Oryctolagus cuniculus: one gene and its partner. The protein of the gene in region 1 purifies or fractionates together with the protein of each later gene. This does not show direct contact. Links are inferred from orthologs where the notes say so. Each region holds a gene or a part of one and is shown on either strand. Other genes may lie near its edges. The genes, in order: SYTL4 and RAB3A.

Region 1 (3,802 bases):
CTCTTGGCCCCCTTCCTTTTTATCTCCAGTAACTCATTCTTCAGTCGCCTGCCAAGACCCAAAAGAGAAGCATAAGTGGGTCAGGATCTGCACAGGTTGTCTGGGTAGGGTTTGAGGGGTAAACGGAGTAAGACTATTTGGTTCTGTTAAAGCAACAAACTCAGAGCTCCAACCTGACCCAATGAGGAGTTGTAAGTGTTGTATATACAGGTTCTGAAAGTCAGATGGGTAGCGTAAGGAAAAATCCAACTATCATTGGTGAAAGGCCTGAGGCCCCCATGCTTTTTCTGATACTCTTACCTAATCCTTTTCTCATCTGCTTTTCGGAGCTCCTCATCTCGCTGTAGAACACTGAGGATCAAATCCCTTTCCATCTCAGACAGAAAAGACAGGTCTAGTATCTCTGACATGACTTATTCTGTTTGTTGTTGTTGTTGTTCACTCTTCTTTCTTCAAAGCAACCAGACAGGGAGAGCACCAGAGTTGCCTGAAACGAGAGAACTAATTTCACACAAATGACTTACTCCAGAACAGGCTCACAGCCCTAGAACCTTCCAGTAGACTATAGGCTAAAGAAACAAACTAGAAGTATCAGACGTATTTGCATTCCGACTTCACTTGAATCATACCCTGAAAATGAAAAGGTTTTTATTTTTCAAGAAGAAAAAATCTATTTATGACTCTGGGAAAGGACTGGATCTTTCATTATAAGCATCTTATTCTGGAAAGAGCAAAGAACAATTCAGTCAAACTCCCCCTCCACTAAATGCATCCTCAACCATCCAATTTTTATTTCTTTAAATATGCTCAACTCCTAAGTCTATTAACCTAAATAATCAAGAAGCTGGTCTCTGTAGGAGAAGGGAAAAGCACAGGAGAACTCTTGTCAATTTAGGTCTACTTCTCATTCCTGATCAGCTTCCATGCTCCCAGGATTCAGTCAGCTTTCCACTATACTTCAAAAATTTTCACCACCTACTGCGCCACAAAGTTTTTATTGCACTCACACTACCTCAAGAAAGTCTGCCCCATTTCATAAACATTTGTCAAGCCCCATTAAATGAAAGGTATTGTGCAAAGTTCTTTGAATACAGAGCTTATTAAGACACAGTTCCCAGCACAGTGGGTTAGGCCACCACCTGTGCCACTGACATCACATATGAGCACCAGTTCAAGTCCCGGATGCTCCATTTCTGGTCCAGCAGTCTGTTAATGCCCCTAGGAAAGCATCACAAGATGGCCCAAGTGATTGGGCCCCTGCCACTCACATGGTAGGCCCAGATGGAATTCAAGGCTCCTGACTTTGGCCTGGCCCAGTTCTGACTGTTACAGCCGTTTGGGGAGTAAACTGGAGGATGAAAGATTCATATTCATTCTCTCTCTCTCTCTCTCTCTCTCTGATGCTCTGCATTTTAAATAAATAAACAAAAGATCTTTAAAAATATCTAAGAGGGGCCAGCGTTATTGCTCAGAGGTTAAGCTGCCACCTGCAATGCCAGAAATAGCAGTACATGATGGCTCACAAGCTTGGGCCCCTGCCACCCATTTAGGAGACCTGGATGGGATTCCTGGTTCCTGGCTTCAGCCTTGCCCAATCCTTGCCCAATCCTTGCCATTGTGACCATTTAGGATGTTAACCAATGGATGGAAGATTGATCAATTGATCGATTGATCTCTCTCTCTCCCCTCCCTCTCTCTCTCCCTCTCTCTGTAACTCTTTCAAATAAATACATAAATCTTTAAAAAATAGATATGTCAAATGACGTATTTCATAAAGTATTTATTTTAACATTTGTATAGGCAAAGAGAAAGGCCTAGGAAAAAAACTATTATATACCATTGGTATCTCTTTGGGCAGAATTAGGATGGGGCAATTTTCACTTTTTATTTTATATAGTTCTGATTTGTTTTTACACGTCTTCCTTTTATATTTCAAAAAAATACATTTCGAGGGACACAAGGAGATTATGGCAATCGTCCAAGCAACAAACAACCTAGATTACTACCTGTGCCACTAATCACTTGGATGAGTGATCTTATTTCTGTTCCCTATGGTTTCTCATCCTCAAAATGATCTACCTCACAAAGTCGTCAAGAAAAATAATGTGTGTTAAAGGGCCAATCACAATGTCTGGAACACATGCTTGAATTACAAATACTTTTTGTGTCTGCTAAAATGATAAAGGTGTGAGCCAAGGCAGCAAAACCAAACACAGAATAGGTTTGAAAAGTAAAATTGACATAATGGAGTGACTGAGTGGAGAAGATGAAGAGGTGAAGTCAAAGATGTTTAGCCCTCAAAGGAACAAGAAATAGAAGAGAAGAATTAGCCTTAAGAGCAGGCAAGGGGTCTAATTTTAGCCACATTGAGTTTATGTTGCATGCAGAATAGCCAGATAATTAGGCTCAGGGAGTAGCTGGAAACACAGGGCTGGGCCTCAGGAAGAGAAACTGTATTTGAAGACAGAGATTTGGTAGTCATGGGTGTCAAAGAGACTAGGGTAGACAAAGTGAGAAAGGAAACAGGGATTGTATTCCCCTTCCATGTTCTACCTTGAAACTAAACAACATCCTTTCAGTTTTTTTTTAATTTTGTTTTACTAAATACAAGAAAGACAATAAAGAGCACAAAGAGGATAGCAAAGCATTCCAGGTTCTTAAAACTGCAGTGTGTTCTCAACTTGACTATTTCTTGGTCTTTATTGAACTATAAGAAGGTAATCATGTTTCATAGGTCCTTTATTAGATAATCTTCAGGAAATCTTCTTAGTTCTTATCCTCAAGGAAAATATATAAGGGTCCTGCAAAAAGTTCATGAAAATGCATGTTACTGAAAAAACTATGAATAGATTTCAATTTTTTTTTTATTTTTTGACAGGCAGAGTGGACAGTGAGAGAGAGAGACAGAGAGAAAGGTCTTCCTTTGCCGTTGGTTCACCCTCCAATGGCCACCGTGGCTGGCGCGCTGCGGCCGGCGCACCGCGCTGATCCGATGGCAGGAGCCAGGAGCCAGGAGCCAGGTGCTTTTCCTGGTCTCCCATGGGGTGCAGGGCCCAAGCACCTGGGCCATCCTCCACTGCACTCCCTGGCCACAGCAGAGAGCTGGCCTGGAAGAGGGGCAACCAGGACAGAATCCGGCGCCCCAACCGGGACTAGAACCCGGTGTGCCGGCGCCACTAGGCGGAGGATTAGCCTAGTGAGTCGCAGCGCCGGCCAGATTTCAATATTTTTACCACAAAATAAACTTATCTTTTAACTATTTCCTGTGATCTTTTTGATGTACCCTTGTATACTTGCAACGGAAACAAGGACCTTTTCAATATCATCTCTGGCCCAGCACCTAACACACATTATCTGGCAAATGGTGCCACATATGCTGCCAATATAGATGAACACCATCACTGTCATCACCATTCCAACAGTGCCACATATTACTACACGCTAAATAAGTACTTTGCATATATATAATGATTAACTTAATCCTCCCAACAACACTGAGGGTGAGTGACTATTACTATCCCCATTGTATTGATGAGGATTCAGGAGAGGTTAGCCTAACGTAACGGAAGAAATAGCAACTAAGAGAAGTTGCTGGGAGGGAAGCCTAGGCAATCTGATTCTAGAGCTGGTACTCTACTGACTCTGTCTAGGCAGGATCATGGCTAGGGCAGCTGTAAAATATTAAATAATCAAAGTACTGTGGAAATGAATTCCTAAATGTATAATTATGGATGAAGCACTGGAAAATCAGCAGTTCCTATATAAAAGAGATACAACTAGTTGCCTGGCAGCAAAACACCAA
Region 2 (4,556 bases), on another chromosome or scaffold:
CCTTAGCTCGAGCTGTCCCACCCCAGGCCCTTTGCACCTGTCGCCCCCGCCCCCAAGGCGGCTCCTGCGTTCCTGAGCTCCCTGGGCAAAGCAGCCTCCCTACAAGGGTTCATTCATTCACTCACTGCGTCATTCATTCATTCCGCCCGCGCCACAGCGCTAACCACTGGCTCAGTCAGAGTCAGCGCCATCCTGTGCGGGGAGAACCGTGTGATTTCGGGGTCACGACCACCTCGGGTCCCCAGAGACGAGGGTGAGACACCAGCGACGGGCAGAGCGCCCCCACAAGCGGGCGCGGCAGGCGCAAAGGTCCTGCGGGACACGGAGCCGCTGGGGGGGGGGGCGGCTTCGGACCTGGGAACCTGCCTCTCCCCCACCTGCTGCCTCCCCACCCCCGCCAGGCAGGAGACAAACTCGGGGCCCCCCTCCCCGTCTGCCAGCCTTGCCAGCCACCGCTTCTATTTTTACATCCACACACGGGGTGCTGTGGTCTCGTGACTGCTTCCCCCGGGGGACTCAGAGCCCCACACACCCCGCCTAGAGCCCCCGCCCGCGCAGGGACCCGCGCACCCGCCCAGAGCCCCCCAGTGGGGGCGGGGCCCAGGGCCCCAGACGGGGAGGGGCCGGGGTCGTGACGCTCAGAGCCCGTGGGGGCACTCACACGTGACTCAGAGAAGTGAATTTCCCGGCGCGCACGCGGGGGCGCCGGGGGGGGGCAGGACTTTCCAGGCCGCGGCGCGGGGCGGGGGCGCCGGCGCTGTGTCGGGAACAGGGCGAGTGCCCCCCAGCCCCAGCCCATCTCCGCTCCAGTTTTGGGCAAGGGAGGGGCCGGGGGGTCCTGGGGACCCGGGACGGGGCGGGGGTCAGAGGGTGGCACCAGCGGGCCCGGAACGGAGCGGGGGCCCTGCCGCCGACCCCGCAGCGAGAGCAGAGCCGAGGGCGCCCCCGCCCTCCGCCCTCCGCCCGGCCCTGGGTTCTCGGTAGCGGGGAGGGGTCACCTGGCCCCCGACCCACGCTGGCTGGGGATCTCCACCGCGGGTCTGGGGGTCCCGGGCACTGAGCCCCGCCCATTCTGTTTCCTGCTCGAGACGGGGCGCGCCGGGGGAGGGATTCGCCGGCGGCCCCCCTCCCCGGGGGTCTTCAGGTCGGGGACCGCGCGAGGGGCTGTCCGACGAGCCCCTTCCTCTTTTAGCTTCTCAGGAACCCCCAGACGCAAGGGCGGGGCACGAGGGTCTCCCGGGCCCCGGTTCCGCTTTCCTGAAATTCAGGAGACGGGGCTCCTAACGAGAAGTCGCCGCACCGCGGACCCGGCAGGGGCAGCCCCGACGCCCCCCGACCTGGGGTGGGCGCGGCCGGGAAGGGAACCGCCCCCCCAGAGACCCCTTCAACCGCCTGGGATCCCTCCATTGGCCAGGGGGACGGCGTCTGCGAAGCTCATTGGCTTGCTGGTCCGTCACTGCACCTCTTAGCCAATGAGCTGACGCCAAGCAGCCCCGCCTTCCTGAGGGAGGTGAGAGGCGGGACCTGCTTCCCCGATTGGACGCGCGCGCCGGGCCACGCCCACTTCTCGCGTCCATCTGCACGGCAGCCCCGCCCCTCCCGGCTCTGCCTGCGTCCGGGAGCCGCAGCCGCCGGCCCGACCCCGCCTCTGGTGGCGTCACGGCTGTATCTGCATGCGAGGCCCCGCCCCGCTCTTTGCAGGACGTCACGGAGGACTGCAGGGGCCTCAGCCACCGCCGCCGCCGCCGCCGGGCAGCCCCGCACGCTCTCCGCGCCCCGGTCCCGCAGCTGCCGCCCCGCGCTCCGCCTAGGGGTATCCGCCGCGCCGGTGCAGGGCGAGGTGAGCCCCCGGCGGCCCCGAGCCTCGGCGCCCCGCGCCGCTGAACCCTCACGTGACTGACAGGCGGGTGGCGGTGGGGAGGGGGCGGGGGAAGGCGCGTGGGGGCGGGGAGGGTGCGGGGCCGCGGGCCCGGGGGTCCCCCGCCGCCGCCCGAGCCTCGCTCCCCCACCCCCGGGCGCTGCGGCGAGGGGGGAGGGGCGGCGAGCGCCTTGCGGGACGCTGCGCGCGGGAGGCTCTTGCGTGCGCGTGCGCGAGGTGTGCACCTGCGTGTGCGCGCCCGCCTACCCTGGCGCGGGAGCCTGGGTTTGCCGGCATACGGGCCGCACGCGTGTGCAGAGAGCCGCGTGCACGCCCGAGGGTCCACGTTCCTGTGGGTCTGCGCGGCGTGAGCGCGTGCACGTCCCTTCTTTGCCCTGGCCTCGAGGTTTGGGGTTGCAGACGCGCGTCCCCGCGTGGTGGGGGTGGGGCGGTGCTGGCAGGTGCACGTGCGCCTGCGTGCCGGGGACCAGGCAAGATTGAGGGGGGGCGGCCGTAGTCACCCCCACTCAGGCTGCAGCCGTAGGTTTAGGGTTACAGCGGGACCTGGGCTGCTAGCGGGGATCCCCTGCGGTCTGCACCGGTCAAGGTCACGGCCCGCCCCCTGCTCAGGGCTCCTGCTGCCAGGGGCAGCCGAGGCCGCAGCCCCCTCCCCGAGCCCGGGGCTCCCTACCCCCGCAGCCCAGGTCTGGGTCCCCGGCAGCCCCGGCTGCAGCCAGCTCCCGCTCTCACCCCCCCCCCCCCCGCGCAGATGGCGTCGGCCACGGACTCGCGCTACGGGCAGAAGGAGCCCTCGGACCAGAACTTCGACTACATGTTCAAGATTCTCATCATCGGCAACAGCAGCGTGGGCAAGACCTCCTTCCTGTTCCGCTACGCCGACGACTCCTTCACGCCCGCCTTCGTCAGCACCGTGGGCATCGACTTCAAGGTCAAGACCATCTACCGCAACGACAAGAGGATCAAGCTGCAGATCTGGGTGCGCAGCATGCAGTAGGCGCCTACTGTGTGCCAGCCCCACGCGCTCGGCCCCCAAATGCCAGCCAGAGCTTGGGCGGGGCTCCATCCGGGTCTCCCACGGGGCAGCAGGGACCCCTGCCCCTGGGCCAGCACCTGCTGCCTCCCAGGGCGCGCATGCGCAGGGAGCTGGGCGGGAACCCAGGGATGTGGGGCCCCGCGCGGCGGTGTAACTGCTGCTCCACAGTGCTGCCTCGGTTTCCCCATCTACAAGGGCTTCCATGTGGGCTGTGTAGATTTCAGCTGGACCTTGTTCCGTGGGGCAGGTGCGCTGTGTCCACCTGTGACCGCAAACGAGAACTGTTCATCCGGGGCCAGCGCTGTGGCCTCGTTCCTAAAGCCCCCACCTGCAGCGCCCGCATCCTGTGTGGGCGCCCGTGCGAGTCCCGGCCGTTCCACTGCCCATCCAGCTCCCTGCTATGGCCTGGGGGAGCTGTGGATGATGGGCCGAGTGCCTAGGCCCCTGCACCCGTGTGGGGGACCCGGATGGAGCTCTAGAGCCGGGACTGGGCCCCAGGCACTCGGATAGGGGGCGCGGGGAGTTGCGGTGGAGTTCACTTTGGGCGCCACGCACCTGCCACCGCCCCTGAGCTGCCCTTGTCGCCTCCCACCCTAGGCCCTGGAGCAGGGCTTTGGGAGTGGTCCGTCCCCCAGGGCGGGGCTTTGGGGTGGTCCATCCCCCAGGGTGGGGCTTTGGGAGTGGTCCGTCCCCCAGGGCAGGGCTTTGGGGGTGGCCTGTCCCCCAGGGCGGGGCTTTGGGAGTAGCCCGCTCTGAGCATGCCCCTTCCCCAGGACACGGCGGGCCAGGAGCGGTACCGCACCATCACCACCGCCTACTACCGCGGCGCCATGGGCTTCATCCTCATGTACGACATCACCAACGAGGAGTCCTTCAACGCCGTGCAGGACTGGTGAGCGCGCGGGGCGGGGTCGCCTCGCTTAAGATTTACGCAGAGAGGAAGGGAAAGGGAGAGAGAGAGAGAGAGGGAGGGAGAGGGAGAGGGAGGGAAGGAGAGAGGGAGGTCGGTCTTCCGTCTGTTGGTTCACTCCCCAAATGTCTGCAATGGCCAGGGCTGGGCCAGGCTGAAGCCAGGAGCTCCATCCGGGTCACCCCCATGGGTGCAGGGGCCCAAGGGCTTGGGCCATCTTCCACTGCTCTCCCAGGCCACAGCAGAGAGCTGGATGGGAAGTGGAGCAGCCGGGACTAGAATCGGCGCCCCTGTGGGATGCAGGCACCGCAGGCCGGGGCTTTACCCGCTGCGCCCCAGTGCCGGCCCCGGGAGATGACTCAGGGTCGAAGAGGTTGCTTGAAAGGGCAGGGAACCTTCTGGAACAAGCACTGGGCAGAAGGCACAGGACTCGGGTTTCCAGGAGGGGCTGCCCAGTGTGAGGCCAGAACCGCCCAGCCCTAACTCCACCGTCACCGCCTCCTGCAGGTCCACCCAGATTAAAACCTACTCGTGGGACAACGCACAGGTGCTGCTGGTGGGGAACAAGTGTGACATGGAGGACGAGCGGGTGGTGTCCTCGGAGCGCGGCCGGCAGCTGGCCGACCACCTCGGTGAGCGCCTGCGCCGGGGCCAGTGCCGAGGCCGTGTGGGGGCTCCGGGCTCACCCTGGGACCCCCGCGGGGCCCTGGACACAGCGTGGACGCGAGGGGCTG

The links.
Region 2: the proteins of SYTL4 (region 1) and RAB3A purify together in Homo sapiens (affinity purification with mass spectrometry; 3 studies listed by BioGRID and IntAct, counting the BioPlex papers as one, with this or other methods). This does not show direct contact. The link is inferred for Oryctolagus cuniculus from reciprocal best matches to the Homo sapiens genes SYTL4 and RAB3A.

Annotation. Positions count from the first base shown.
Region 1 is NC_091453.1:92,013,003-92,016,804, reverse strand, and holds part of SYTL4 (synaptotagmin-like protein 4), read right to left. Parts: intron 502-3,802; exon of another isoform or gene 488-501; 5' UTR 411-487; coding exon 301-410; intron 49-300; coding exon 1-48. UniProt on the Homo sapiens protein: Modulates exocytosis of dense-core granules and secretion of hormones in the pancreas and the pituitary. Interacts with vesicles containing negatively charged phospholipids in a Ca(2+)-independent manner.
Region 2 is NC_091447.1:65,551,265-65,555,820, reverse strand, and holds the start of RAB3A (ras-related protein Rab-3A), read left to right. Parts: upstream 1-1,680; 5' UTR 1,681-1,840; intron 1,841-2,627; coding exon 2,628-2,855; exon of another isoform or gene 2,856-3,132; coding exon of another isoform or gene 3,133-3,174; intron 3,175-3,685; coding exon 3,686-3,804; intron 3,805-4,329; coding exon 4,330-4,454; intron 4,455-4,556. Other genes in the region: MPV17L2 (mpv17-like protein 2), read right to left, coding at 3,133-3,174. UniProt on the Homo sapiens protein: The small GTPases Rab are key regulators of intracellular membrane trafficking, from the formation of transport vesicles to their fusion with membranes.